Linked DNA regions of Alligator mississippiensis. Each later gene encodes a partner of the first gene's protein in a complex. Links are inferred from orthologs where the notes say so. Each region holds a gene or a part of one and is shown in the gene's direction. Other genes may lie near its edges. The genes, in order: MCM2, GINS3, DONSON and GINS2.

Evidence for each region.
Region 2: MCM2 (region 1) and GINS3 share a complex: the UniProt entries of both Homo sapiens proteins name them as parts of the CMG helicase complex. The link is inferred for Alligator mississippiensis from reciprocal best matches to the Homo sapiens genes MCM2 and GINS3.
Region 3: MCM2 (region 1) and DONSON share a complex: the UniProt entries of both Homo sapiens proteins name them as parts of the replisome complex. The link is inferred for Alligator mississippiensis from reciprocal best matches to the Homo sapiens genes MCM2 and DONSON.
Region 4: MCM2 (region 1) and GINS2 share a complex: the UniProt entries of both Homo sapiens proteins name them as parts of the CMG helicase complex. The link is inferred for Alligator mississippiensis from reciprocal best matches to the Homo sapiens genes MCM2 and GINS2.

The regions. Positions count from the first base shown.
Region 1 is NC_081835.1:18,792,414-18,799,692, forward strand, and holds the start of MCM2 (DNA replication licensing factor MCM2), read left to right. Parts: upstream 1-4,274; 5' UTR 4,275-4,279; coding exon 4,280-4,372; intron 4,373-4,897; coding exon 4,898-5,085; intron 5,086-5,843; coding exon 5,844-6,019; intron 6,020-7,279. UniProt on the Homo sapiens protein: Acts as a component of the MCM2-7 complex (MCM complex) which is the replicative helicase essential for 'once per cell cycle' DNA replication initiation and elongation in eukaryotic cells.
Region 2 is NC_081833.1:38,890,154-38,897,389, forward strand, and holds the start of GINS3 (DNA replication complex GINS protein PSF3), read left to right. Parts: upstream 1-4,216; 5' UTR 4,217-4,328; coding exon 4,329-4,508; intron 4,509-5,096; coding exon 5,097-5,330; intron 5,331-6,645; coding exon 6,646-6,876; 3' UTR 6,877-7,236. UniProt on the Homo sapiens protein: Required for correct functioning of the GINS complex, a complex that plays an essential role in the initiation of DNA replication, and progression of DNA replication forks.
Region 3 is NC_081824.1:292,312,997-292,320,439, reverse strand, and holds the start of DONSON (protein downstream neighbor of Son), read left to right. Parts: upstream 1-4,438; 5' UTR 4,439-4,484; coding exon 4,485-4,742; intron 4,743-5,487; coding exon 5,488-5,565; intron 5,566-7,443. UniProt on the Homo sapiens protein: Replisome component that maintains genome stability by protecting stalled or damaged replication forks.
Region 4 is NC_081833.1:73,711,707-73,719,046, forward strand, and holds the start of GINS2 (DNA replication complex GINS protein PSF2), read left to right. Parts: upstream 1-4,334; 5' UTR 4,335-4,380; coding exon 4,381-4,470; intron 4,471-4,890; coding exon 4,891-5,005; intron 5,006-5,784; coding exon 5,785-5,884; intron 5,885-6,921; coding exon 6,922-7,048; intron 7,049-7,340. UniProt on the Homo sapiens protein: Required for correct functioning of the GINS complex, a complex that plays an essential role in the initiation of DNA replication, and progression of DNA replication forks.

The DNA.
Region 1 (7,279 bases):
CCACCTAATTGCCATCTTGAGATTGGAAGCCCCACTCCTAACCCCTGACTTTTGCCACTGGAAGTCCCACTCCTTGCCCCCAGAAGTACTCCTTTTGGGAGGTGGGGGATACCATATTAGAACCAGAAAAAAAATCATATAGTAAAAATCAAACATCTACTATAACAGGGTTACCATACATTTGGGTTTTCTGGACATGTCCTCCTTTTGGATTCTCCCATCTCTGTCTCAATGTTTTTTTAAAATACCAAAAAATGCCCGGGATTTTACTCTGCTCAGGATCAATGTTTTTCCTGGCACTTCCCATCTTGCCCTAGCAAAGAGCTACTTGGGGCTGGAAGGAGCAGGGGAAGGGAGATTGGAGGCAGAGGCATCAAGTGATAGTAGGACCAGCCCTGGCAGCTGCATGCAGGTAAGTCTGTGGGGGCAGGGGTTGGAGGGCCAGGGCTTGGGGACTGTCTGGGGGGTTCTGTGTGTGTGTGTGCACACACGTGTGGCAGAGGTTTGTGGAGGGGATGGGTGTGAGTGGGGTGCCTGCTGGCACCGGGGGAAGCACAGTGTCTGGGCAATGGGGCTGTGGCAGGACAGGGAGAGCAACTGCCCCTCCAGCAGGGGAAGGGGGTCCTCTGGGGACAGCAGGGAGCTGTATGGCCAGGCTGGCGGCACTGGGACTGGTGCCTGTGCTTGCAGGGGTGGGACAGCTGGGAGATGCTGCAGAGCTGGGGGGCCATAGGGCTGCAGATCAAGAGTGAGACACACTGGCAGGGCTGGGGGGCTGTGGCTTGGGAGTGAGGGGAAAGGGCAGGGCACCGGCATATCACTGCCTGCCCTGAACAATCATATTACCTGCCCCCGCTCCCCAACAGGTGTCCTCTTTTTTGAAACTGGAAACATGGAAACCCTAAATATAACATATTTTAATTTTATTACAAAAAATATTTTTCTCCTCATGAATGGGTGTTTGCATAGTGTATATAGAGGTGACTGCATAATAGCTCCAAATAAAGTCTTACTCTTGTATAATCTGTGTGGGAGGGATGTGGTTGGGGGAGTGGGTATTGGGGGTGGGATTTAGAGGGGTGATCTGGAAGCTTCCTATCTTCAGGACAAGGCAACCGAACTTCATCTTCAGCCTCCTCTACAGCTCCTTCAGTCCTTGCCCTCTGCTGGGACTGACTACCAGTTCCTGAAGTCATGGTGGGATTTTTCCAGAGATGCTCACTAGTCTGCTAGGTGTTGAACTGAGCTCACCAAACCCAGCTCACACCAGCCACCAGATAACTCCTAGCTGGTGACAGCGGATCTCAGCTGGATTCTGGCCAGTTGCCCAGGATGACAGGAGACACCCAATTCCTAGTCTCACTTAGGGCAACCAAACACTCCAGCCACGTCAAAACTGACTGCCCAAACCGAGCCACTTAAAGGCCTGTGTGTGTGTGTGTGTGTGTGAATGAGGGGTTTGTGAAAAGGTGTGGATGTGTGTATGGGTGGGTGTGGGGTTTGTGGGGGGCGGCTGTGAAGGTTGTGAGTGTGTTTGTAGGAGGGTCTGTGGGGGGGGTGTGGGGTTTGTGGGGAGATGGGAGGTGTCAGGTTTGTGGGAGGGTGTAGGTCCTCCCCCCGCACTCCTCCCCCCCAGCATACAGCTCCTCCAGGCAGCAGCAACAGCAGCAGGCTCTCAGGGCACTCATGGCCCATGGCAAGCAGAGCCCCCTGGCAGCACGTGGCTCTGGCTGAGTCCCGAGAGCTGCAGGTGGCAGCACAGAACCTGCCTGGCTCGGACCAATGGCACATGCCTTTGTGCCAAAGCAGGCTGGCTCCATGCCAGTACATGGGGCTTCTGGCACTGCAGGCAGGAGCTGCATTATCAGCCTGGACCAGGCCAGCTCTGTGCCTCCATGTGGGGCTTCCAGCACTCCAGTGGGGAGCCACACGTGAAGGCATGGAGCCAGCCTGGCCCAGCTGTGCGTGCTCCCAGCTTCAGTGCCAGGACCCATAGGTGCTGGCACAGAGCCAGCCGGCTGGCCCAATGGCACACTGCTCCTGGGAGGAGAGCTGGGAGCCACATGTGGAAGCACAGAGCCTACCCAGCCCTATGGTGCGAGGACTAAGAGCTGTGGGGAGTTTGTGGGGGAGTCCCATGCCATTGGGCTGGCCAGGCTCTGTGCTTCCACGTGCGGCTCCCTACTGGAGTCCTGGAAGCCCCACGTGGAGGCATGAAACTGGCCAAGATCATCTGATGGCGCATAGCTCCCACCTGCAGTGCTGGAAGCCCCATGTGCTGGCACAGAGCCAGCCTGGTCTGGCTTGAAGGCCCCTACCAGTGGACCGGCTCAGTGCCAGGGGCTCAGAGCACCTGCCATGGGCCATGAGTGCTCCGAGGGCCTGCTGCCCACTGCTATCAAAATTGGTGGGAGCTGTGCACCATGATGGGGAAGGGGGAAGGCATGTGAGGGAGACCCATGCCTCCCCCGCTCCCCTTCCTACTCAAGAGCTGCCCAGTCACACACCATCATGTTCAGTGCCTCCACATGGGGCTCCCAGCTGGAGTGCTGGGAGCCCCACGGAGGTGGAGGCACAGAACCCACTTCTGAAAGCTCGCATCTCCCTCTGGCTTTCAGAGGGGCAGCTGCGGGCTGGTAATAATTGTTTTTTGGAGGGGTCCCGCAAGCCAGATAGAATGGCCTGTTGGGCTGGAGCCAGCCCGCAGGCAAAATACAGCCTACTAAACGGTCAACTTCCACAGCATCTGGTGGCAATGAGGTCCAAACTTAAATTACATGCGGGGTGAAAAACAACTTCCTTGTGTTAGTATTAAATTTACTACCAATTAGTTTTTATATTATAACCCTAGTTCTTATTTTAAGAGAGAGAGTAAACAATACATCCTGTTCACTTTCTCTTCACCATTCAGCATTTTGTAAACCCATCTCATGTCTCCCCTGGCAGCGTGGAGGAACCACAGGGCAACCCAGGCGCAAGAAGGGTCCAGCAACAGCGAAGGGGAGGTAGCCACTTTTCCCCTGCACCAAGCGGCAGCTTCTGTCCAGCTGCCACCGCTACTGCTACTGCTACTGCCGCTGCACAGTGTGGGCAGGCGAGTCCAGAGCAGGCGCAAGGTGGGCCAGGGTCGGGGCTGCGCACGCGGGTCCCCACTGGTACCATGGGGCTGGGGCCAGCGGTGGCAGCAGCCAGAAGGAGCCACTGCTGCATGGGCTGCCTAGGAAGGCTGGAGCCACCCCAGTCCTACTGCATGCCCAAAGGACGCCACAGGCCGGATGGCACCTGGGCCAGGCAGGACTGAGGGACTCACCATGCTCTGGACAAAGTCCCTCCGCGGGCCAAATCTGGCCCATGCGGTGTATTTTGCCCATCCCTGGCCTAGCCTCTCTAATCAATGCAGGGATAAGTGATGTCCTGTCTCCCTAAACACCTTCTGCAAATTTTTACTGGATAAAGGACTCTACTTCCTGCCCTAAACTACATTCCCGTGCTGAACGGCTATGGAGGCTCCCGTCTCCTGACAGACATGGCCGAAGGGCAGGGCTGCCCCAGAGAGCCGTGAATGGGAACTCCCCGCTACACGCAGACTCGTACCCACCCATCCAGGGTTTGTTCTGCTGTGCGGCTCCAGTCCGTGAACTAAACCCAATGGAGGGAAGCCGAACCAATTTGATCCAGGGAAAGACTGTCTTCACGCAGACCCGCACCAGGATCTCCACGTCACAGAGGTTCGACGGTCTGGGATGTATCAGCTCCAAGGATGAGAAGGCCCTTGGCAGGGTCGGACAGGGGGTGCACAGGGCGCGGGGCTGAGCCCTGCTGCATGTGGGCGGAGAGAAAAGCAATCCCAGGAGATCTGTCAGCTGGTGGCTGCAATGCCCGAGCAAAAGGTGTCCCGGGCAGCCAGGCCACGTAGGATGCGAAGCCCTGAGGGAAGAGGGTGGGCGGCAGGATGGAGAAACAGGGCATGAGCAATAAGGTGCAATCAGATCCGGAGCGGGTGCATTGGTGCAGCTGCACCTCCCCCCATTTCGGACTGTTTGCAACCCAGGGGCTTCTGGGGACTTTTTTATCATTCCCCAAAACACAAAAGAAACCTAGTAGCACGAGCTCTTCCCCTGCTGCTGCTGCTGTCCCCGGGGCAAGAGAGGCGCTCCAAAGCCGTGGACAGGAACAGTCCTATCCCGGGATAAGGGCGGGGCAGCGCTCAGCGGAGCTCGCCGCGCAGGCGCGACAGGGGGCGGCGCTCATGCATATGCATCGGGGTCGTTAATTATGCATGAGGTTTCGCGCGCTTTTGCTGCCCACGTGGTGCTCGTTTCCCGCGGAATCCGGCAGGGCAAGGAGGCTCCGGGCAGCGGCGGGGATGGCGGTGAGCAGCGGCCGGAGCCTGCCCTGCCCTGGGGTTGGGGTTGGGGGTTGAAAGCGGGGCTGGCACTGGGAGTGGATTGGGGCTCGGGCTCCTGTGCTCTGGTCCTTGCGGTGGGATCCGGATCGGGGGCCGGGGTCCCGGTGCCCAGAAGGCAGCGCTGGGGAGTGGAGCCCCTGCCCGCCCGCCCCGCACCCGCCCGGGCCCTGCGTGGGGCAGAGACGGCCTATAAGGGGCTTTGGAGTCTGCCTCTCTGGGGCTTTGCATGGGGGGGTCTCCATGGGGAAATAGGGATGTCCCCCCCCCCAACTGGGTCCCCTGGCTCTGTGGGGTGGGTGACACGTGAGCACACGCATGTGCACACCCACACGCTGGTCTGCCCGTAGGGGTGAGTGCGCTGGTGCCCCCTCCCTGCTCGGGGAGCTCTCCCGTCCCCTGTGGGGGTGCTGATCCAGGTGACACTGCCTCCCCGAGCAGCCCTGGCCCCTTCCTCCACTGGCCTCTGACCCGACTCTCTGTCCCCTGCAGGATTCGTCCGAGTCGCAGAACGTGGCCACCAGTCCGGCCCGCAGCTCGCGCCGTGGAGATGCCTTCACGTCCAGCCCCGGCCGGGACCTGCCGCCCTTTGAGGATGAGTCTGAAGGGCTCTTGGGGACCGAGGGGGGCCCTGAAGAGGAGGACGAAGGGGAAGAGCTCATTGGGGACGGGATGGAAAGGTAGGGGAAGCCCAGGGGCAGCCCTCGGTCGTTGATGGCTGCTGTGTGTGAGCAGGGCCTTGGCAGGGCAGGTTATTGCTTATCTCTAAGGCATTGAGTCGGCTCCTGCCATGGGCCACTGCACGGGTAGTGCCTCTTTGTCCTCTGCCTGGTCCTGCTCTAAGCATCCTTCAGTACCCCCAGCTGTGTTTCTAAAGCACCTGTCATGGGGCATCGGAAATGTGGACTTTGTCTGCTGCACCGGTGCCTAGAGTGGGCATAGCAGAGGGGCCACAAGACAGTGGTGATGGATATAAGTCTTGTGCCATTGTCTGGGATACCGGGGGGGCTGCCTGTGAAGTCGGTGGGTGAAGTTGTGTGGATAAACCTGCAGGTCACTTCCTAGGACTGAGTGTGGTTCAGCTCAGGGTTATTTACTTGCTTGTGTGAGCATAAAGTTCAGATTTTGTTCTGCAAAAACAATCCTTTGGCTACTAGGTTAGAAAAACAAGTACAACCAACTACAGGTCCAGCAGCCAACAGCTGCATACGCTATTCATTCAAGCTTTGTGTGTCGGCTTTAGTGATCGTAGCATCCAGCCTTTGCTTTTATTAACACGGAGCATCTTTTTGTGTAGAATGAGGTTCTGTTCACCAAGAGTTTTTCTGTCTGGACTGAAGTCTCCCTGACACCACCTCTGTTTCCCATAATGTGATAGGGGAAACTCTTCCATGTGGCTAAGTGCATCACTGGTTAAATGAGATCTCTATGTGCCTAGGGACTACCGTGCCATTCCAGAGCTGGATGTCTATGAAGCTGAGGGCCTGGCTTTGGACGACGAGGATGTGGAGGAGCTGACAGCCAGCCAGCGGGAGGCAGCCGAGCGGGCAATGAGGCAGAGGGACCATGACCTGGATCGTGGCCTGGGCCGCATGAGGAGGGGACTGCTTTATGGTAACTCCCATATGTGCTTTTACATCACTGACTGCCTTAGCCTACCCCTCCAGAAGGATCTGGTCTTTTACCCAATGGCCTGGTTGCCATGATGGCCCTAGACCACCTATGGCTTGTAGAGTGTCTAGGTTTTAAGGGAGCAGTGGGCTTACCTGAGCTTCACTAAGTATTGTCTCTTTGCAGCTGGGTATGTTGGGTGCTCCCAGACTAACAGCGCTCTCCTGGCTCATGCAGGTCTGTGGTTGCAGCAGAGTTCAAATGCTGTGGCTTCCAGGCCATGTCAGGACAGGGGCTTGGACCCAGTAAGTGCCGGGCAGACTGCTGAGACTCAGTAGCATAATTATGGCGGGGTGAGCCTGGCATCTGCCAGAGACACCATAGTTTCATAGGTGGCAGGGTCAGAAGGGACCTAAGCAGATCAAGTCCAACCCCCTGCCTTGGGCAGGAAAGGATGCTGGGCTCAAATGACCCCAGCAAGGTGGCTGTCTAGCCTCCTTTTGAAGACCCCAGGGTAGGGGCGAACACCACTTCCCTTGGAAGTTGGTTCCAGCTCCTAGCCACCCTGACAGTGAAGTAGCGCCTCCTGATATCTAGCCTGAATTTGCTTTCAGTCAACTTATGGCCGTTGTTTTTTGTTAACCCCGGCAGTGCTCGGGGGAACAGGGACTCTCCCATTGCCTGCTGGTCTCCCTTGGCCAGTTTATAGACAACCATCAGATCCCCTCTCAGCCTTCTTTTGTAGAGTCTGAACATGTTCAGGTCCCATAGCCTTTCCTCATAGGGTCTGCCCTGCTGCCCCCTAATCATGCAAGTGGCCCTCCTCTGGACCCTCTTGATGCTGTTCATGTCCTTCTTGAAGTGCGGCGCCCAGAACTGGACGCGGTACTCCAATTGGGGCCTGACCAATGTCATATAGAAGGGGAGGATCACCTCCTTGGACCTGCTTGTGTTGCATCTATGCATGCGTGACAAGGTATGGTTAGCCTTCCTGACTGCATCCCCACATTGGCAGCCCATGTTCATCTTGAAATCAATAGTGACACCAAGATCCTTTTCTGCCTCTTCACTGACAAGAAGGGAGTTCCCCAGCCTGTAGGTATGCTGCTGGTTCATCTTCCCCAGGTGCAACACCTTGCACTTGTCCGTATTGAAACCCATCCTGTTCTCATCTGCCCACCTCTGTAACCTGTCCAGATCCAATTACAGCCTGTCCCTCCCTTCTAGCATGTCCACTTCTCCCCACATCTTAGTGTCATCTGC
Region 2 (7,236 bases), on another chromosome or scaffold:
TTGCATATTTATTAAACAATGTGGTTTGGAAGGCAAGGGTGATTGATTGTATATGCTTTTAAGTCCTGGAATTCATGGTCACGACTCACTCATAGCAGTTCAGAGCAAGTCCCAGTACAATACCTCACCCATCTTGGGAGGGAAAACTGCATGAAAGGAGACCTCTGTTTTAGCATCTGATTTCCTTACAATGATCACAAAAGCACACCTTTCAGAGCAATCCCACAATTAGTGCAAGGAGGTTCTCTGGGGTAATATGATTCCTTTATCTTTGTATTTGCCCTGTATCTGTTTCTCTGGGTCATCTTGTCTCACTTCTGTATCACTCACATCAGGCTGAGGCATGTCAGGATTGATCAAAATATTAATTTTCTTTTTTCTCTTTACAGCCATTTTGTATTTGCACCCTATAAAAGAGATTATTTCATTTGTACACACAGCTCCTTTTACAAGCTCTACAAACTTGCATTTTCAGCTCAGAGACTTTGCTCTTAACATTTGATTCAACAAAATTATCTTTATTATTCCTGTCTTATAAATTGCAGTCGTCATCCAAAACTGCCCTTAAAAAGGTCTCTTGAAAATTGTTATTCTTTTGCAAAATAGAAACGGATGGAGATACCTTTTTTCCCAGAAAAATCTCTCTCCCTTATCCAAAACAAACAAAAAAGACCCAAAATGATGTTTAAGATTTCTAACTGAGAAGGTCAATAACATAACATGAGAAGGTCAATTTCTGTCTTTCTTCTGAGCAAGAATTTAAGGTTTTATCCATTGTACAGGAATATTGATTCCTGTACAATGGATAAAACCTTAAATTCTTGCTCAGAAGAAAGACAGAAATTGACCTTCTCATGTTATGTGAATTTTTTTTCAGATTCATGTTTCCGTCCTTCAGTTGCACACTGCACTGTTGGAAAGATTTAATGTACCTGATTAATGGGAAAAAGGGACTTTCTAAAAACAGCAGTGTGGGTGTTATATTTGCATATACATATATTTCTCCTCCTTGGTCTCTGTCCTTTCTTACTCAGCTACCTAACAAATCAAGTTAATCTGGATTCTTATCTTTTTAGCATGCTGAAGTTCATAAAATGTGTTATTCTTTCACCTAGGTATGAGTTTTATACAGTGACTATCACAGTGGTATCTAAGTAATGACTATATAAACCAAATATATATTCTTATACCACACCTTAATCCCACGTTATGTACTTAAAAGAAAAATGTTTAATGAGATATTATTTGCATAAAATAAATAGTTCAAGATTTAACAAACTGTTCCAAATGTGGTTGTGTTTATAAACAGCTGATTTAAAAAAAATACTAGAACTCCATTGTGGGAATAACACAGAAAAAACAAAATCAGAGCAAACTGAAAACACCTTGAGCAGAAGGCAAGATGAGGAATGTTGTGAACAGGGAACTAAAGAAATAACATTGCCTTGTGATTTAGTCATAAGCTGCAAAATGTCTGCCTTTACATTTTCTCCAGCTGAACAAAATGAATTTTTAAAAGGACTTTAGATTGGATAGCTGAGAAGGTTCAAGCATAGATTTTAAGTTGGTAAATGCAATTGCTGATTTCCCCCCTCATGCAATAATCACACATTCTTGATACAATTACAGAGTGCTGTACAGATTTCTGTTATTATGTTTCCATGTAAGACCAAGAGGTCTACAGAAGTTCAAACTTTTGCACAAAAAAGGGAGAAAATAATATGTTCAAACCTCTAACTACAATGTTCTCCATATTGTTTTTCTGCTTAAACTAGTTTCAGACTGTCTTGGGCTCTCACTCTTAGACTCTGGTGACTAAAGTAAAGGTCGGGTGGAATTTTCAAGAGTACTTACAGGTTTCCCTCACCAACCGCTGGGGTTAGGTTCCTGAAAGTTCCTGTGGTTTGCAAGTGTGGCTGGCAAGACAAAAGGCTTATGGGGAAAATGCCAGGTGGCAGGCTGATGTGCGGCCATGGAAAACCATGGTTACTCAAAACTGGCTACTATGGTAGCCAAAATAGTATATAGAATATTAAGCGTGGGTAGTCAAAACCATGGTTGGTAAAACCGTGGTTGGCAAGGGAAACCTGTATGTGAATTATGTCCCAAGTTGAAATGACAGCTGTTTATCGACACTTTTCAAAACTCAACCCCCTACCTGTGTAATCTTGAACCACCTGCCAGTATGTCTTTGACTGGAAGCAAAAGAAGCAAGTTTTCAGTCTTCTGGTTAAGATTATCCCTTTTTTTTTTTTAATCATAAAAAATAGTGGGAATGATCCAAGCACCATTTCTGTTGGGCTTTCCCAAAACCACCAGTTTCTTTCAGTCTTACTCAACACTTTTTATGACCAGAGATTGTAAAACATAGCTAAACCATGACACAAGGGAAATAAAACTTTACCAGAAGTTTTGAAAAGCTGTTGTTTTATAGGTTCTTGTGCTTAGAAACAGTGTGGGGTTTATTTTTATTTTCAGCATACACAGTTCGAGGGAGAGTGAACAGGATTTAATTAAATAAATAACAAATGAATTCCCAAACAGGGAAACAAAATTGAAAACATTTTAATATTTACGATCAAGCTACAAAAGGACACTAAATGTCAGTCTATTCCTGGTTACACAGGTAAAATTGCAAGTAATTTCACTATAAACCTTATCAGAAGGGGGGGAGGCAACATGCACCCTGGCAGAGCAGCCTCCCTGGATGTGTGCAAGTGCCCCATGTGCTGAAGGACACAGCAGTTTGGAGCCAGGCAGGCTGCCAGGAGAGAGCTCCACAGTCAGGGCTCTTCCCCTAAGCACCCCTTTCAACAAGAGCACACCCGCTGTCTTCAACAGGAGATGGCTGGGAGCCAGCAGGGAGCATAATGTGGAAGGGCCAAGCTCTTGTGCTAACCAGCTCCACCAGGCTCTGACTCAGGCTTCCATGTGGTCTGGCTCTGGGTGAATCTGGACGTGCTGAGGCAAGGCTTCCTCAGGCTGATCATTTGATGGGACCAACTAGTAACTGGGGTGCAGTCAGACAAGGGGCTCTTCCTGAGAGCACTAAGGGTGCATAAGCAAGGCTCTGCCCTTGTCCCAGCTGAGTGATCAGAATTTGTCTAAATCAGTGGTCACCAACCAGTGGATCTCGATCCACCAGTAGATCTCGGAGCCTCTTGGAGTGGATCTGAGGCTAGGGTGGGGGGGGCTAAGTGCCTGCATGCATGTATGTATCCCTGCCCAGCAGGTCAGTCCATGGGGGAGGGAAGAGGTAGGGGCTAGATTAAAGCCCCTGTGGTGAGGAACAGTGCTGCAGAGGCAGGAGTAGGGGTAAGTTGAATGAGTGCCCAGCTGGGTGGGACTTACTTGCTGGGGAGGCACATCCCCAAATAATTTTTTTCTCCCTCGCCTTGATCTGCCCCCCCATTTCCTCCCCACAGACTTACCTGCTGCGGGGAGCAGGAGGGGGTGGCAGCACATGGTAGATCTTGGATTGCTCTTAAATGCCAAAGGTGATCTATTTAAAAAGGTTGGAGACCACTGGTCTAGATCCTGTGAGCTATCCCCAACAGCCGGTGTCTTGGGGCAGACCCGGTAGGGGGTGCCCAGGCCTGGGGCTCAGGGCCTCTTCTTTTCCCACCCCAGGGGCCGCTCGGAGGTTAGGACTGTCTAGTAGGCTGCATGCAGGCATGGGACCAGCAGGGCTCTGGATGACCCTGCACGAGTATGCCTGCGTCATAGTTGTTGCCCGGTGATGTGTGGTCATGACATCACGGCTCCATCACCAGACCCGCTAAGGTCAGTCTGCAGATCGCGACATCAGGTCCCACTGTGCGAGGTCAGCACGGCATCCAGCCAATGACCGTGCAGAGGGAGGGCCGTGGGACGCCACACGCAGGTCCCGGCTCCCTCCGCCCCGCACTCACCGCGGGGGGCGCCGCCGCGCAGGCCCCGCTCCCGCCGCCAACGCCTGCGGGCAGTTACCGGCCGCCCACGCGCACCCCTCCCCCGCGTCTCGTGGTTTCTCTGCTGCCGCCAAGCCTACGTCACAGCGTGCGAGGCCGAGCGCGCCCCCTGGGGGCGGGGCGCGGCGCAGGCGTAGTAAGCGCGACGCTCGGCCGCCGCCGCGGGGCCTTCTCGCCTTCAGCACCAGCACTGCTGGACGGCGCCGCGGCCGGAGATCGAGCCTGTCCGCTCGGCCATCGATTGTTTCGGCCTGGCGACTGCCAGCCCACTAAAAGCGGGCGGCAGTTGCACATGCGCACTGGCGCGCTCGGGCCGCGGCTGCTGCTTGGCGGGCGCCGCGCGGAAGCCGGTGTGGGTTGGTGACTGGAGGGCCCACCATGTCGGAGGCGTATTTCCCGGTGGGGCCCGGATTGGGCCCCGAGGAGAACTTCTTGTCTCTGGACGACATCCTCATGTCCCAGGAGAAGCTGCCGAGCCGCGCCGAGGCCGCACTGCCCCGATTGGCCGCCGTGCTGGGCAAGGGCGCGGGCGCCGGCCAGGGCGACTGCCTCCCTGAGGTAACCCCACGGGACTACAGCTCCCGGCAGTCTCGGTGGCGCGAGGCATGCTGGGAGTGTGGGCCGATGCTCGGCGGGGCATGCCGGGAGCTGTACTCTCCTTTGGCGGGAGAACGGAGTGGTGCGCTGCCCCTCCCCCCCACGTAGTGTCACCCGGGGCCGGGGCCGGGGCCGGGGCCGGGGCGTTAGGGAGCGGGAGCCGCAGGCTGCGCGGCCTGAGCCCAGTGTGCGTTCGTCTACACATACATGCTGCTGTTTCCGTGACTCGGTTCTTTGGCTTTCCCCGACTTTTAAGCACCAGTGTTTGCAGCCCCCTTTTGTAGAATTCTTTACTTATGACTTTGTTTCGCTCACGCCACAGTGTGTTTTGTGCCACCTGATTTGATTCTTACTGTTATCAAAAAAAAAAAAAAATTGTGGTTAGAGCCCAAAATAAAAATCCTGATTCTACAGGCACCTGGTAGCTTGCCTGTGAAAGTCATTCATTGTGAACCTTCAGTAGGTGTCTGAGTCTTGTTTTTATTCATCATCCTGATCAGAATTGACTCCTGACTTTGTGGGGATGCCCTTTCTGTCCTGTGCATGCAGGGCTCCAAGCTGGAAATCCCCCTGTGGCTGGCGAAAGGGCTATATGACCACAAGCGGAGGATACTTTCTGTGGAGTTGCCAAAGACCTACAAGGAAGGCTGGAGGACAGTGTTCAGTGCAGATGCCAATGTGGTCGACCTGCATAAAATGGGGCCGTACTACTATGGATTTGGCTTCCAGCTCTTGAATTTTGACAATCCAGAGAATCCAGAGATAGCTCAGACCATACTGCAGGCAAGTATTTGAACCAAGTGAAATCAATCACTGAGATACTACCCTTTTCCTTGACATCTCTTCTATCCTTCCATCCACTTTGTCATAGTTGGGGATATATATATCCTTTTCTACTCAATTTGATGTGGGCTAGAAGGACTTCAAGACCTGGCCCTTTCATCTACAATGAGTATGTATCATTTTTTTGATTAAATGAATTGAAGCCTCATGTCTGCATTCACAGCTAAATTTGGTTAAATGAGTTTTGAGCAAGGAATGACCAGGTGCTTTGTTGCTTGTCTTTTAATAACAGAAAAAACAAAACATTTAACATTCTGTTCTACCGTTGTAAGGCCACAGCAATAGGAGAGCCTGTCTTGGATAGCCTGACACTAAGAAACTAATAGTCAAGAAAGTATAGTTAAAATGAGTGAATAAAAACATAAAGATCTTGTTGAGATTTTGACATTCTCTGTTTAGCATTTGTAAAGAACCAAAATACCAAAGTAAACCATGTAAAAAATAAGTGTACTAGTAATAATAAAACCTTGTCATATTTTTTTTAAAAGCTTTGTTTCCCCAATATCCTTAAGCACACTTTCCAAAGTTGTCAGGAACTTTAACTCTTCCCTTTTTGAATCTGGTTATATTTAGCTTTTATTTAAAAAAGGTTTTCCCCCTTGCTACAAAGGAATAAGTCCCTATTGCTTACCATTTTAAATTTGTTGTTATGTTCTCTGGGTGTTGTTTAGGTTTCCTAATTGTTTTATCGGTGCCCAAAGTGCTTTGAAGGCAGAGGGAGGTCAGCGTTTGAGAAATTCATTTAACTGTAGTGATGCTGCCTTTATAAAAGGGAGCTCATTTTTAGGGGGAAAAAAATCTAAATTGCTTTATGGTAGCATGATCTGTAACTAGCTACAGACTTATCTCACCTGCTCTAAAATCAATGGCTTCATACACAGGGACTGAAACAAAATTCATTGTATTGTGTTTTGTAGAAGGTCAGGACTAACCAGTAAAAGGCAATAGTGACACCTGACCAATTTAATTCCTTGAAAGTAGAGTGCAGTGGGCATACATATACAACACATGGTCTGGAAAGCATGTAACCTTTCCCCACCCCTATCTTAGGAAAATAAAGCTTATCTTTGAGTAGGAGGTTAATGGAAGCTGAGTACCAACAGTTAGATGCTAGTCCAGAACCAACTGTTGGCTGCTCAAATATAGACACCATAGGGTGCAAAACCCTGAACCTGTTAGCCCCAGAGCATAAGTCTAGCATTTGACCTCAAGGAGACTCTTCCCTGAGTCACTGACAATTCTTTATCTTCCTTAGACATTTATTAACCGTTTTCGCCGCATCATGGACTCCTCCCAAAATACCTACAACGAAGACACCTCTACATTAGTGGCACGGCTGGATGAGCTGGAACGAGCCTTATTTCAAGCTGGCCAGAAAGGGCTGAATGACTTCCAGTGCTGGGAGAAGGGGCAGGCTTCTCAGATCACAGCTTCCAGCCTCGTCCAGAATTATGGGAAGAGAAAATTCACTGACATGGATCACTGAAAGCATGAAGGACACAAAACCAACATAAGGGACACTGCAAGATTTATATTCTGTGTCACTGAAAAGAAAGACCAACTAACCTTGGAAAAGGGACACATTTTCCTTCTCTTTGGGTAACTGAACTTCTGAGCAGCTCTAATCTTCAGATTAAGCCAAAGCACATTGCAGAGGAAGAGGGAAGGTACAGTGACAACAGATTGCATTGCAGAATTGTTTAACAGCACACACACACTTCTCCCAATGATTTATGGTAATTACTTTGGGCTGCATGGCTCAGTGCAGGTGAGAGGCTCTTCTGAAAGAGGGTCGTTAATATTTGCTACTTTTTATCATGTAAATAGAATGTCATTCTTTTACCAC
Region 3 (7,443 bases), on another chromosome or scaffold:
TTGCAGATAACAACAGTTGCAGGAAACATGTATTCAATAAGCTACAGGTGGAATACCCCTAACCTAACCATCTCTTGGTTTCTTTTTCAGCTGAATTAGTTAAGAAATTAATCTAATTTATTTTATCTGTTGAGTTTTATAAACTCCTGTTTACATTTTTAAATTAGTCTGAAGTTGTTAGTATGGTCTTAAGTAGGATGTTTTTCATGAAAGTTTAGGCATACCTAATTTACTGCTAGGGTATTTATACACATGCTCCAGGAGTGGGGTGGGAGGTGCTTTAATTAAAGCAATCTTACTGACATAAAAGTCTCAAAACAGGGTGAGGAATCCAAGCAGGATCCTTCAACTTTCTATACAGGCAGATATTCCCTGAAGGCAAGATTAGAAATCAAGGTGGCAAAGCCCTTTGGAAGTAAAGGGACTAATTTAAGATCCCTTTTTTTTTTTTTTTTTTTTAATCTTGGCATAAAGCCACACTGAAGATAAGGTAGAGTTGCAGCTTAAGGGTGCGTATGCATGAGCAAGAGTCTCAGTAATAAGTGGCAGGCTCTAAAGTGCCTGGAACATCTCATGCATCAGCGTCTCTGTTCAATGAGCTTTAGATAAAATACCTCTGCCACCATTTGGAAATGTGGGGACACACATGAGACGCAGGATGCTGCTGGAGCACAGTAATTGCCACGCTCCAATGCACTAGACTTACAGCCTGTCAGAGCAGCCTCCCTGCCAGTGTATAGGCACCATTAAGGTGCAACTCTTAAAGTGCTTTACCACCTTGGTGTCTAATCTTGCCTTCAGGGAGTATCTGCCTCTAGAGGAAGTTGAAGGGTCCTGCTTGGATTCCTCAGCCTATTCTGAGCTTCTTATGTCAGTAACATTGCCAGGTATGAACTCAAAACCCATTGCAAGAGGCCTTGATTAGGCCTCCAAACATTTATTTCCTGAGGAGACTGTTTTGATTGCTTTCTGCTCTCAGACTGTTAGCAAGGTCTTATAGCTATTCTTGCATATCCCTCTAGTAACTTTAGATAGGAAATCCATATGCTTGGCCTCGTGGAATTATCCAGAGAGACATAAAAATAATTTGAGCTGTCTCATGGTTAATGACTACTTCTTGTCAATACAACACTTCTGCCATTCCTACTAGAGTGGAGTAGCTGCTTGTCCTAGAGTAATTAAGAGAAATGTAATATTGTAAAAAAAGACTTGGGTGTGAAAGGGCACTTCTCTGTCTTCTTCACATGAAACTTCTGCTCCCTTTAGCATGTGCCACTTTAATAAATCTGGAAGGCTAATGTATAAATAGATTATAATTAATGACTTTGATAACTCTTCAAATAATTGTTTTCTCTACTACTCATACCCATTTTTTTCTCAGCCATGAGTGAGCTGTCAATTGGAAACATTCCCTTGTATGTAGTCAAAGGTAGAGGGAAAACCTCACGTACCAAAAAAATTATGTAGGATATTAAAATTAGAGGGTATGAACTTTGTCTTCTTACATACATGAACATATAGATACTAGTATATTCTAGATCAGTGTTTCTTAACCTGTGGGTCATGAGAACATATAAAAGGGTCGTGAACAAACTTTAAAAATAGAGAAAATGTGGGAAACTCTGGCTTTTCCCTTGCGGGCTGTCAGAGTTCCAACTTGCAAGGGGCTGCTTGGGGACCCCCATGACTCCCATACCTTCCCCCTGCCTCACACTGTGGGGCTGGGGCCAGGGGATCAGGAGTGAGGGTCACTGGGTCAGCACTGGCCTTTAATGTTTGCAGATGGGTCCTGGCATAAAAAACGTTGAGAACCACTGATCTAGATATTAGCTGAGTGGAGCGTTATTTACTTCTCAGATTGTTTTGCATTTAATGATACCCATAGGAACAGCCTTAGTGGTCCTTCTCACCTTTGTGAGCTATTTTTGGCAACTGCTACTTTCCTGCTGTTCTGTCTGGCTGGAATTTTCCTTCTGAAGACCTTCATTGTGCCCTCTAGTCTTTTTTTTTCCCATCCTGTTTTGAGCATTTCTTAGACTCTCTCGAATGAGTTTGTAAAAAAATGACATGTTTGACATTACTTACAAAAGTTGCCTGTGCTGTTCTGAAGAAGAGGATTCCATGGCGCACACTTAGGGACCTTTTTCTCCCAGGGTCTGAACACCGGTCCTAGAGCACTCCCTTCTGGTAGAAAAGTATCACTGTACATAGAAATTATTGCTAGTTTAAAATTCCAGATTATAAAGGGAAATACTTTTCAAGAAAAATAATTTGAAATGACCCCCTTTGCTGATTAGTTTTTAGAGGAAAACTAATGAGTAAAGGAGGTGCAAATCTGGCTGTGCTATATGCTGAGTGGCTCAGGTATAAACGTGGGGGAAGTATGAGGTGCATCTCTGGGTGTATGTACCAGGGGGCAGGCATAGCTAAAATCCCCCAAGATCCCAGCTTGCGTGGCAGAATCCAGGTTTGCAGCTCTTTTTGGGTGGAATAGAGGAGGCAAGGATTTCTTAGGGTGAGATCTTTTATTGGACCAATGCTATAGCTGGGATAACAACTGGACAAGCTTTTGAATGCCAGGCATTCTTCCTCAGGTCTCAATGGAAAGCTTGTACTTGGGAGAATATTAGACAAGCTTCCCAATGAGACATGAGGAAAAGTGCTTTGCATTCAAAAACATGCCTGTTATCCCAGGTACAGAGTTGGTCCACTAAAGGATCTCACCCTAAGACATACTTGTCTCTGGCACAGTTGTGGCTGTACCATCACTTTTCAAGCTCAGGCTGTTCACTGGCTTTTATGGTATAAAGAAGTTTCTTGCTTAAGACCATAAGAGTTGCCATTTACTGGATGGTAGGAACAGGGTTTTTTTCCCCATGGTTCCTCTCACTTGCAGCCTCTAGCATTTAAGGTCTAGAAGCTCTGATTCAGAGGCTGAACCCCTCACTCCCATGCTCAGTAGCAGCCCATGCCCCTTTCCTTCAGCCATTGGTCCAAGCCCTGTTTGAATCTGGCTAAACTGCAGGCTTCCAGCACAGCTGGTGGCACAGAGCTCCACACTTGAATGATATACTCTGTGGGGGGAAAAAAAACTTCTTTCTGTTAAGTTTTAAACTGACTGCCTACTGGTTTCATGTTGGGACTCCTAGTTGTTGTCTGGGGGGAAAGAGCGGATCATAAATCCCCGTGTACTCTCTTCCCCCATTAGTATTTTGTTAACTGTTCTCATGTCCCACCTTCAAGTGTCTTTCTAAACTAACTGGTTCAGTTTCAGCTCATGTGGGAGCCCCTCTGTCCCACTGCACATCCTGGTTGCCCTTCTCTAGTGCACATGTGCCCCGGAGGGTTGCCAACCCTGTTTGACTCTATTCTGGGATGTTTCATCACATGATATAATGACATTACAGTGCAGACTTTAGGTCAGGAAGGCAAACGCACATTACTATTACATTTTAAAAACTCATTGGGCTCCTGTATAAATTGGATTCAACACTGAGTATTTAACGACTATTGTCTATCTGTGGGGTGACTCTCAGCAGTCTCTTGGAGATTTATCTCTAATTCCTGGGGACTCTAGGGCAATCCTGGAGTCAGTAACCCTGGTGATCCAGCCTTTCAGGCTGAAACCTTAGACTGGGAGACCTCCAGCCCTCACAGAGGGCCCAGCCGTTGCCCTGCATGAAGTGCCTGGGCATTAGTGCATACACACAAACTGACTTTCTGACAGCAAAGCGACTTTTTAAAGTTGACTTAACTGTCAGAGCGTACACACCTATGTGCAGCAGAGTTGACTTAAATGTGGCACCAGATAATATATCTCCAAAGGGGGTGTGTGTCCATGTGTGCCCCTACAGCATTCACTGTTACTTGCTGTATTAGGTAAGCGACTTAGCTCACAGTATGGCTGCCACAACCTCAGGGAGCTGTACGTGTGCGCGTTGCAGCCTGACTTAAGTGAATTTCATACATCTCATAGACATTAGGGGCTGAAAAGGACCTCCCGAAATCATGGGGGCCAGGCCTTTTGAAGTCTGCTGGGGTCAAACGATCCCAGCAGGATAAACAGCCAGCCGCCTTTTGAATGAGGCCGGAGACAGCGCTTGCCCCACCTCTGGGGGGAGTCTGTCCCTGGACACGGGCTGTGAAGCAGGTTCTCCTGATGCCCGGTCTAAATCCGCCTTCCAGAGGTGTGTAGACCTAGTGCTCCGTAGTTAAGCTCCCGGGTTTTTGGTGAAGTCGCCATTTTAAGTCGACTGAGGAGATGTGTGGGCACGGGACGAGCGGGGTGGGGGTCGCAGGAGTTGAGGCCGGTGGGGCCCGACGCGCAAGCCAGTGTCCCGGCTGCTGTGCCGGGTGCGGAGGCACAGGCCGCCCGCCTCCGCTGTGCGCGCAGCCCCGGCAGGCGGGAGGGCTGGGCGGGGCCGGCCGGTTTGCGCGCCAGATCTGCAGGGCGCTGCCCACAGGCGGTCCCGGCTCGCGCTGCAATGTGTGCCGCGGTGCCCGGCTACTCGCCCGGCTTCAAAAAGCCGCCGGAGATGCTGCGGCTGAAGCGGAAGAGGCTGCGGAGGAGCGAGGTCGCCGCGCCTGGGGCTGCCGCCGCCCGCAGCCCCGCCAGGGAGCCCGGCCCGCGCCCCTTCCCCGGCCGGCGCAACCCCTTCTCCAGCCTGGACAACGCGCCCCGCCCGGCCCCGGCCCCGCGGCGGCCGCCCCCCGGCGCCAGCACCCCGCACCCGCTGTGGCAGGTACCGGCGGTGTCGGTCTGCGTGCGGGTGCGAGACCTGGGGTGTAAGTTGTAGCCGTGTTGGTCTAAGGACGTAGGCAGACAAGGTTCCTTGCGTGAATTTGATATCTTTTATTAGACCAACCAGGTGTGAGTCCAGCACACGCAGGCACTGGGCCCCTCTGCTCTGCTGCCTCAGTCTGCCCGGCTCTCCCCGGGGCTCCAAGCCTCTGCCCACCCCGTGTGCGTGTTGGGGGCGGCATGCCTCCAGGCTGCCTCTCCTTTGTAAGCCTCGTGCTCAGGAGTCAGCACTCGTGGTGGAGGTGATCATCTTGTACTGGGCCAGCTACATTTTTTGCAAAAAGGAAAACAAATTGTTAATTGCAAGCTTTTGGGCACACGAGCCCTTCTTCTGGCATCGGGAAAAAAAAATGGAAGTTCTCCCAGGTAGATATAGGCGAGTTTCTTTGAGTAGATGTGATATCTTTTATTAGACCAACTGAATAGGTTGAAGAAAGAGGCTTTCGGAGTTCAAATTTTCCACTTTTCTGGCAAATGCTGAAAAAGCCTCTAAACTTCAGTGCATGGGTATGTAGAAAATGTCTTGTTAATGCTACCAGAGGGTGAAATGTTCTAGGGTGCGCTGCTGATGGTAGGTAGCTCTAAACATTTTTCTTGAAGTTTCACTTAAAAGTCAGCCTTGAAATGAAACTCAGTTCAGTTCAGTCCTTTTTTAAAAGTAACAGGTTTTTTTTCTTCTATTTTAGCTCTTGGATCCTCTTCAAGAAACTAAATCCACCTTGGAAGAAGAGTATTCTGAAGTAGATTTTCCCACATTAACAAAAGTATGAATCCTTAATTATTGCCTTTGGGTGTGTTTAATATTCCATCGTGCTCATAAGAACTTCATTTTTAATGTTTTTGGCTTTGGTTTCAATGTTGGGTCGATTTTATTAGAGCATAAACATTCTCAGAATTGATCTTAAACTGCCTTTGAAGCTCAGGGTCAGGTTGTCATCCACTAAAAACAGGCTTGCTGTTGTATTGGAACAGAAGAGGTTCTTTATAGTTTACCCACCTTGTGGCTCTTATGCTGTTCTGTATTGTTGGTTTCATTCTCTACTAACTAATCACTCACTCCCCCTGTTGTTATTTGTCTTTCATGCAGCAGAGAAGAAAAAAACACACACACAACCTTTACCAACTCTAACTAGGGTTAAGACAGGTGTGACTGACTTTTTGAGGCTGATTAGATTTTAGGCTAATAGAGCTGCTGCTTGAGAAAATGTAAGTTTAAGCCAACTCCTATTAAGGGATCAGGAAGAACCTTTCTCCAGGACAGCAGGCTATCGCATAGCTGCCTGCAAAATATTTCTTGCATTGGGTAATATTCAGTTGCTAGCAGTGATGACCAAATGAGATGGTGCTGGTCTGATTTGATATGGGAATTCCTACTTGCCTATTACCTTCTTGATAAGCTGGCTGAGGGCAACATCCTGAGGGACAACCAGCATGGGTTTGTCGCAGGTAGGTCTTGCCTGACCAATCTCATCTCCTATGACCAGGTGACCATATATCACCTGGACAAGGGAAAAGAGATTGACATCATATATCTGGGCTTTAAAAAAGCCTTTGATCTGGTGTCACATGATCTCCCCATGGAAAAATTGGCCAACTGCGGCCTTGGCTACATCACAGTCCGATGGCTGGGGAATTGGCTCCCAGGTTGGACCCAGAGAGTAGTGGTCGATGGTAGTGAATTATGGTGCTCCATGACCAGTGGTGTCCCCCAAGGCTCTGTCCTTGGACTGGTTTTCTTTAACATCTTTATCAACAATGTTGACAATGGTGTCAGAAGTGCTCTGGCCAAGTTTGCCAGTGACACTAAACTTCGGTGCATAGCATCCGTACTTGAGGACAGCTGGTGATCCAGGCCGACTTGGAAAAGCTTAGTAAGTGAGGAGATACAAACCTGATGACATTCAATACCGATAAATGCAAGGTACTCCACCAGGGAGTGGGGGGGAATGCAGCATGCTTATAGGCTTGGCAGTGCTATGCTCACTAGCACTACAGCTGAAAGACTTGGGGGTCGTGATTGACCACAAGATGAACATGAGCCACCAATGCGATGTCGCAGCTGGTAAAGCAAACAAAACTCTAGCTTGCATCTATAGCTGCTTCTCAAGTAAATCTCAGGATGTCATCCTCCCGCTGTACTCAGCCTTGGTGGGGCTGCACCTGGAGTACTGCATCCAATTCTGGGCTCAACAATTCAAGAAGGATGTTGAGAAGCTTGAGAGAGTCCAGAGGAGAGCCATACACATAATCAGAGGGCAAGAGATTAGGCCTTATGAAGAGAAGCTAAGGCTCTGTTCACCAGAGCGCCCCAAAGGACAGCAAGGACTAACGGTCATAAACTCCTCCAAGACCATTTTAGGCTGGACATAAGGAAACATTTCTTTACTGTCTGATCCCCCAAGGCCTGGAATAGACTCCCTCCAGAAGTGGTGCAGGCACCTACTTTGGACTCATTCAAGAAACGCTTGGATGCTTATCTTGCTGGGATCCTTTGACCCCAGCTGACTTCCTGCCCCTGGGGCAGGGGCTGGACTTGATGATCTTCAAGGTCCCTTCCAGCCCTAACGTCTATAAAATCTATGAAACGTTAATGTACACTTTAAAAAATAGTGAATAGGCATACTTCCAAAAGTCTCTTAACG
Region 4 (7,340 bases), on another chromosome or scaffold:
GAGGAGATGTCCCGGGGCAGGCTGCTCCAGTGCTTAACAACCCTCTACATTAGAAAGCCCTTCCCAATATCTAACCTAAATCTTCCTCGGTGTAGTTTTAGACAATTTCTTGTCCTAACCCCTGTGACAACCCCTAAAGGAGCCCTGGATAGATGGCAGCCCACTGCGTAACTCTTTGGAGCAAAAAGGCATCACGGGTACCCCAAGGCAGGGGATGTAGAACAGCAGCAGTGTGCCTTTGAGCTGGGGAAAGCCTGCAGGCTGAGGAAGCAGCATTATCAGCAGCCAAGCTGGCTCCTGAATTAAAGGTCAGGATGAATGTGTGACAGAAGGTGCTTATCAGGCACAGACATCTCCAGGCCTACCAGCCTTTGCAGGGCTGCCCCTGCCTACCACCAGTTAACCAGCAGGAACCAGGTTCAGGCTGCAATGGCAGGTTTAAACAGGTTCATGGAGACCCAGGTGGATATGAAGACCTGAACAGCCTCCCTTTCTCCCTTTACACACAGAAGGCTATTTGCACAGGAGGCATGTGAAAGCCGGCTTCAGGGGTGTGGAAGGGAAGTGCAAATCAAGCTGTTGTGGCATTTGAGGCTGGAAATGGACCCGAAACTGAACTTCACCAGTGAACGATGGAGCATTTCAAAGGTAGAGACAGGCTGCTTGCTCTTCCAGCTGTTTCAACCAGCCTGTCTGGCTTTTCTACGTGATGAAGCTGCTGGGCCTGAGAGAGGAGCCCTTCAGAGACTTGTCTGCATTAGGGGTTTTTGTGCTGTCTTTTTCTCTCCCTGCAGAGGGTCGGCCAGGATGCAATGGGTTTAAACTGTAGCAAAGCAGGTTGAGACGAAATTTCAGAGAAAAGTGTCATTACTGTCGGAACATCAGGACAGCGGTGCAAACTGCTGGGGGAGGCTGTAGCATCTCCATCCTTGGAAATTTTCAGGAAGGGGATGGATAAGCATTTAATACGGATGGTTTAGGAAGAGCGCATTGTGCCTCTGTGCTGGGGGCTGGACTGGATGACCCCGGAGGTCCTATTCAATTCGATCAGTCTATTATTTTCCCAGGAGCAGCCACTTTGATGAGCATTTCCAACTGCAGACATCTCTCTTGGTCTATTTCTGGAGGAGCAGAGCAGTTCAGTGCTTTCATTATGGGGTCTAATGAAGGGCAGGGGCTGCTATGAATTCCAATCTTGGTTGCTGCCGTGGAGCGAGCTCGACCTGCTGGCACAAATCTACTGCACTGGTATATAGCAAGGGAGCTGGGAATGCCTTAAGTCCCACTAAAACCTGGTTTTAATAGCCCTCTTCAGCAGAGTGTATTTAGAGCTAGCAGAACCCAGGGCAATGCTTACCCAGCAGATTTCTCGTGTCACGGAGATGACAAGATTTGCTCCTGTAAGACAGCTGTTGTTTTTTTTTTTAAGCTGTCAAGATCAGAGCTGCTCAAAACCTGCGGATCACAGACACTGATGGTTTGCCTGACGCGGCTGCTTTTTGCTTCCGGGGGAATTTGAAGCCCAAGATCTGGAATATAACAGGGGAATTTGCACCTCCCGAGTTATGTTCCAGATTTTGGGCTTCAGACTGAGAAATGTCAAAAACCCAGCTCAGGTGACATGAGGCAGTTCTGGCGCTGAAAGCAGGACTCTTGCACTAGAAATGGTGGCGAGGTGGTAGAAAAACAGCTAGCAAAGGTTTCCAAAACCACATTCATGTCCCGAATTTGTGCTGCCAGCTTCCCCAAATGTAAACACTCACAGTGGTCAGTGTCTCTCCTAAAACTGAGCTCCTGGAGTCATGAGACTGCTCAGTTTCCCTTTGAAACCCATGGGATGTTTTTAACCCTCCTAGTAGTGGATAAAATCTGGACAAATGTGAGGTCTGAAGTCTCAAAAGCTAGAGGGGGAATAACAAGGACTGCAATAAGATATTTGTGAAAAACCTTTTCATTTTCAATTGATGCTCAAGATTTAAAGGGGACCAGGTAAGGATGTTTTCCAAGTGGGTGATCCCACTGACTCCAAGCTAGGCAATAATTGGTGCCTTTGATGTTCACCAGGGATGCAAAGAGGTGAATAGGGGTGGAAATCTAAATTGCCTTCACCCCTCCAGAGGTAGCTACCAGCCCTTCTACTCCTCATGTTATTGCTGTTCTGCCAATATGCAGAGTTGCCCCCCAGAGTCACCCGTCTGGCACTTCTCACAAACACAAAACTCACTTAATTAAAAAAAGAAAGGGTGTGGGATAGGGAAGCCATTTGGGAGCCATAACAGATTAATCAATACAAATCAATCAATAGGAACTATTGGCAGCTGCCGCTGGGAAGACAGCACTTAGATTTGAGGGTTGTTTTTTTTTTATGGACGGGTAAAGTGGAGAGAGAGGAAATCAGATCCAGACATAACAAGGCCTTTGAATGACAGCCGGAAAATAGGATTATTATCATCACCGCAACTTGGGTACTATCATTTTCCTTTTTTATTCATGCAATGCAGAGTGGTTTGAGTCTCAATTCTAGAGGCCCCGATCTGAGCAAGAGAGTGGTTTGGGGCAGGGATGAGATGGCAAGAGGAAAGAAAAGGGCTCCCTGGGAAAGACTTTTTTGGGGGGTGGAGGGGTGACGGGGACTATACGCCGCATTCGGAGCCTTTTTATTTATCCTGTTGCATCGGGGTTGCTGCCCGTGCTGGGACAAGCTGGAGGCAAGGCAAAGAAATAGATGGTGTTTTGAACAGGATCACAAAAACACACCATTAAATAGACCTGTCACTGCTAATATTGTTTGAAGGCTTTCTGTTTCCATGACGACCTGACATCCTAACAGCCTGGCTGACGGCACTCTAAATCACTCCTGGATAAAAGCTTTTATTTTATTCCCCCCCCCCCCGTGCATAACTTTGGACATTAACATCTTCGATGTGTCTTGACGGGTTTTTGTTGCTGTTGTTATGCTTCATCTTAAATCCGTCCCGGTAGCTGAGTGTTTGGGGGTGGCTTGTCTTTTTAATTAACAAGCAACGTCTGGGTCAGAGGTAGAAAAATACCTCTTGCGAACACTTCTGGGCTGTAATGCCTGCACAATGCTCAACAGTGGTTCGGCAGATGGGTTGCTGTTTGTCAAGCTGATCCGTGTCAACGCCTTGTGTCCCCATTTACTCCACACACCTGGCTGTTGTGCCCACCTGTTGCCTATGGGCTTGCACTTGGATGATCAGCTTCGTGCCACGTATTTGGAAGAGGCACAGGCGGCAGGGCCTTGGCCTCTACCAGGGCCGCACACGGGCACGGGCGGACAGAAAGGGGGCCTGAAAACGGTCATTTTAATTATCGTTATTAGCGTTACCTCTGGCGAAGCGGGGTTTGATACTAAAAGTTCGCCCCAGGGCCGCCAGGAGTCTCGGTACGGTGCCTTGACCGCTCGTAATAAATACTACGAATACATTCATGAATTAAAGTCCACCCTCTCTGACCCTAGGCCAGGCCGCTGTGGGAAAAACCAGGGAACAACGTTGCAAAGCTGCGGTTAAACAAACACAAGGCGCGTCTACACGTTCACTAATGCGCAGTAGTTTAGTCCTCGCTTCATGGAGGACAGGCAACCCCCCCCCCCCCCCCCCTTGGTGCTCATCCGCTACAGCGCTCGTTTTAAACGGATACAATTAGCACTCGGCGAGTCTCGTTATAATGCTCAGGTCGTTAAAAACTCTCGCGGTCGCCGTGTCGGATGGTTAAAAAAAATTTGGAGAGTCCCCCCCCACAACCTCCCGCCAGCCGGGGGGGGGGGGGGGGGGGGGGCACCTTTTAGCCACATTTGGGGACACCCTCCAGACAGGATTGGTGTGATATGGCCGTGAGGGCGGAGGCGTGACAGACCCCCCCCCCATAATGAATTGGGCTAACCTAATTAATTGGGTTAATTGCTGGCATGGAGGGGGACTCAAGCCCCCCACCACTCCTCAGGCTGAGGAGATGTGGGGGTGCTTCCCCCCCCGGAGGACTCTCCCCTGAAGTACAAGGTCTATGACACATGGCGGGTGGAGAGGAGGGAAGCACCATGGCAACTCCCGCGCCTTCTCCACACTTCGCCCCGCCCGCGCGCCCAGGGAGAGCGCTGATTGGTCGATGCCTCCTCAGGGAGAGCCGCGATTAGCTGGAAGGCTCCCCGGCCCCGCCCTCAGAAGCCGCGCCTCAGCCAATCCTCGAGCGCAGGAGGGAGCCAACCCGCGGGCACCGCGCGAGACAAGCAGCCAATCGGGGGCGCTTTGGGGTTGGAGTCCAAGGGAGGGGGCGGGGCTTCCCGCGCGGCCAGCCAATAGGAGGGGCTCCCCGGGCGGTTCCGGTTCCGGTACCGGTTCCGCCCGCCCGGCGCCGGGAATGGACCCGGCCGAGGCCGAGTTCCTGGCCGAGAAGGAGCTGGTCACCGTCGTGCCCAACTTCAGCCTGGACCGCATCTACCTCATCGGGGTGCGCCGGGCCCGGGCTTGTGGGAGGGGCCAGACGGGGCGCCAGAAGAGAGGGGGCGGGGAAGTGTGGGCGGGGCCAGGGGAGGGACAGGGCAGATTATGGGGGCGGGGCCAAACTCGCGGGAGGGACCAGAAGAGAGGGGGCGGGGCCAGTCTTGGGGGAGGAAAAGGGGCGGAGTCAGAGGGCGGGGTGGATTAGGGGCGGGGCCAGAGGGAGGCATTTTGGGGGCGGGCCTTGTGAGAGGGGCCAGAGGGGAGGGGTTGAGACAATGAGGGACAGAGGAGGTGGGAGAGGTCAGCTGGGAGGGCGTGGCCAGAGGGGTGGGCGTGGCCAGCAGGGATATTGAGGGGTCCCCCCCCTCCCAGGGGTGCCCTAGCAGGGCCTGGCCCCAAGCAGCCCCTGACCCTGTGGCTCTTGCAGGGAGATCTGGGTCCCTTTAACCCAGGGCTGCCCGTGGAGGTGCCGCTCTGGCTGGCCATTAACCTGAAGCAGAGGCAGAAGTGTCGCCTGATCCCTCCCGCATGGATGGACGTGGGTAAGGAGACCGCCCGCTCCGAGCTGGGAGCTGGTCCGTGGGGACGTCCTGCAACGCTCCTTCCCCTCCTTTAATGGGGAAATCCCTGGAGCGAGTGAAGGGGGCGCAGGGCCAGCCCCATCCTCGCTCCCTGTGCCTTGCTTTGGGAAGATGGGGATGCCACCTGCTTTCCTGAGCACCATCGCTGGCGTGTCGCGGGCTCGGGCGTTAATTGCTCCGTCACCTCCCTGTAGCACCTTCCCCGCGGGCTGCGTCCCGAGGGAAGGGTGCCTGTGGAGCGCGGAGGCGCTCTCATTTACTCGGGATCGTGCGATCCCGCGGGGCATCGGGAATAGAAGCAGCCCTGACACCACGCAGCAATGTTGCTGGGTGGAATAAGGGCCTGAGCTCCCTCCGGTTCAGCCAGCGTGCGGCTGAGAGCAGGGACAGGGACGGTGCCTCGGTGCTGCTCCTCTCGCTGTCCGACCTCCCTCTGCGCTCCCGAGGGCACAGAATTGATGAGCCAAGATCAACTTGGCAGAAAGGTCCCCTTGAGGCCTTCTCCCAGCATGCGGAGCTGACTGCCAGTGCCTCTTGCCCTCGTTTTGGGTTGAAGGGAGTTACTTTCTGCCTGATGAGCTAGGGCTCCCATGGTAAAGCTGCCAAGGGTACCAGGACAGTCTCCCCTCTTGCAGGAGCCGTCTCCACCTGGTCCAAGGGGGCTGCTTCTGCTGGGAGGAGATAAATCCAGAGCTGTGGAGCATCTGGCAAAAGCCTGACTGTCCCCAAATGTGTTTCAGAAAAGCTGGAGGCCATCCGGGATCAGGAGCGCAAGGAGGACACCTTTACCCCGATGCCCAGTCCCTACTACATGGAGCTCACCAAGCTGCTCTTAAACCAGTAAGTCGCTTCCTTGTGGCCAGGTGGAAGTACTTTCTTCCCTGGGGAAATACCCAGGAATATGATGCTGAAAAACTAGTGAGGTTATAGGGGATGGAGTTGCAGACCCACAGGGAAGCGTCCTACGCAGAGCACGTCAGGGTTTTGCTAGAGCACTCGGTTTATCGCAGCCGTTGGATCTGTTCACCCGGTGTCACTGGTTACGAAGTCTGATCAGGGCTCCCGTGCTCTGTCGAGGGGCGGCTGAGTGTACTGACCTTGGGCGGAGAGGCCACACGCTCTGGCTTTGTGCAGACCCTCGATTGCTGCCGGAGGCCCAGCAGCCTAATCCTTCCCAGTCTGCTGCCTTCGTGCTGTCCTTTCCTAGCCCGGTACACGCAGGTCAGGGATATCCCATGCAGGACTCGCGTCCCCTGAAACATTTCCATTGCACACAGTCTGCTGGCCAGTAATTTACTGAGCACAGACTCTTCTCTCCTCAAGCCCCTGCTCACGGTCACTTGAAGCACTAATTGCTTCCTCCTGAGATCTCAGCAGATCCCATCATTGCATTACAATAACCTGTGGCTGTGTTCGTGTGAGCTGCTTGGATCTCTGGAGGTCTGTGGGGCTGTGCCAATGGGTCCAGCTCACTTGGTCCCAAAAGCTGTGGGGTCGGTAATGAGAGCACAGTGCCGACCTCTAGCTCTCATCACAGCCAAGCCATTTAAATTGGCTGTTTCTGTGTGGCTTTGGCCAGGTTATTGTACCTCCTTGGCCTCAGACCAGCTGGGCTCTCACAGAGCAGAAGGACTATGCTGCCAACCAGATGCTGCTGCAGAGTTCAGATTTCCTGGGTAAATAAACGATCCTGAAAAAGCCCCGGCAGCAGCAGCACCAGCTTGGCTTTTAGTGCTGAGTTCCTTTTTTTTTTCATAAAGCAAACTGCTCTGCTTATGCCTCCGAGGTTTGAGAAGCTGCCAACATGACTTATGCCAGTGACTTAATGTATTAGTCCCTTGCAGCCTGTTCTGATCCGCGCTCTCCTCCTCCTCCAGCGCCTCAGACAACATCCCAAGAGCAGATGAAATCCGAACGCTGGTGAAGGATACCTGGGACACGCGCATCGCAAAGCTGCGGCTGTCTGCGGACAGCTTCGTCAGGCAGCAGGAAGCCCATGCCAAGGTACGGGGTGGACCGATAGGCTTGCTAGTCCCTTCCACGGGTGGCCAAGGTGCACTGTGATTGTGCAGGTCTTTGGCCGATCAGAGCCACAGACAGACGTGCCAGGAGTGGCTCTTTCTCCCGCTGCAATAGGAGCATCTGTCAGTCAAGAACTAAAGCCATATGCTTAAGCTTCCGTTTACGGCCAGGCTGCAGCTCCGTTTGCATGATGACAGCGGCACCGTTGTCACGTTCCTCTCTGCTGGGCCTGCCCCTTGGGATGCAGCCAGAGGGCATATGCACCTCTTCATTG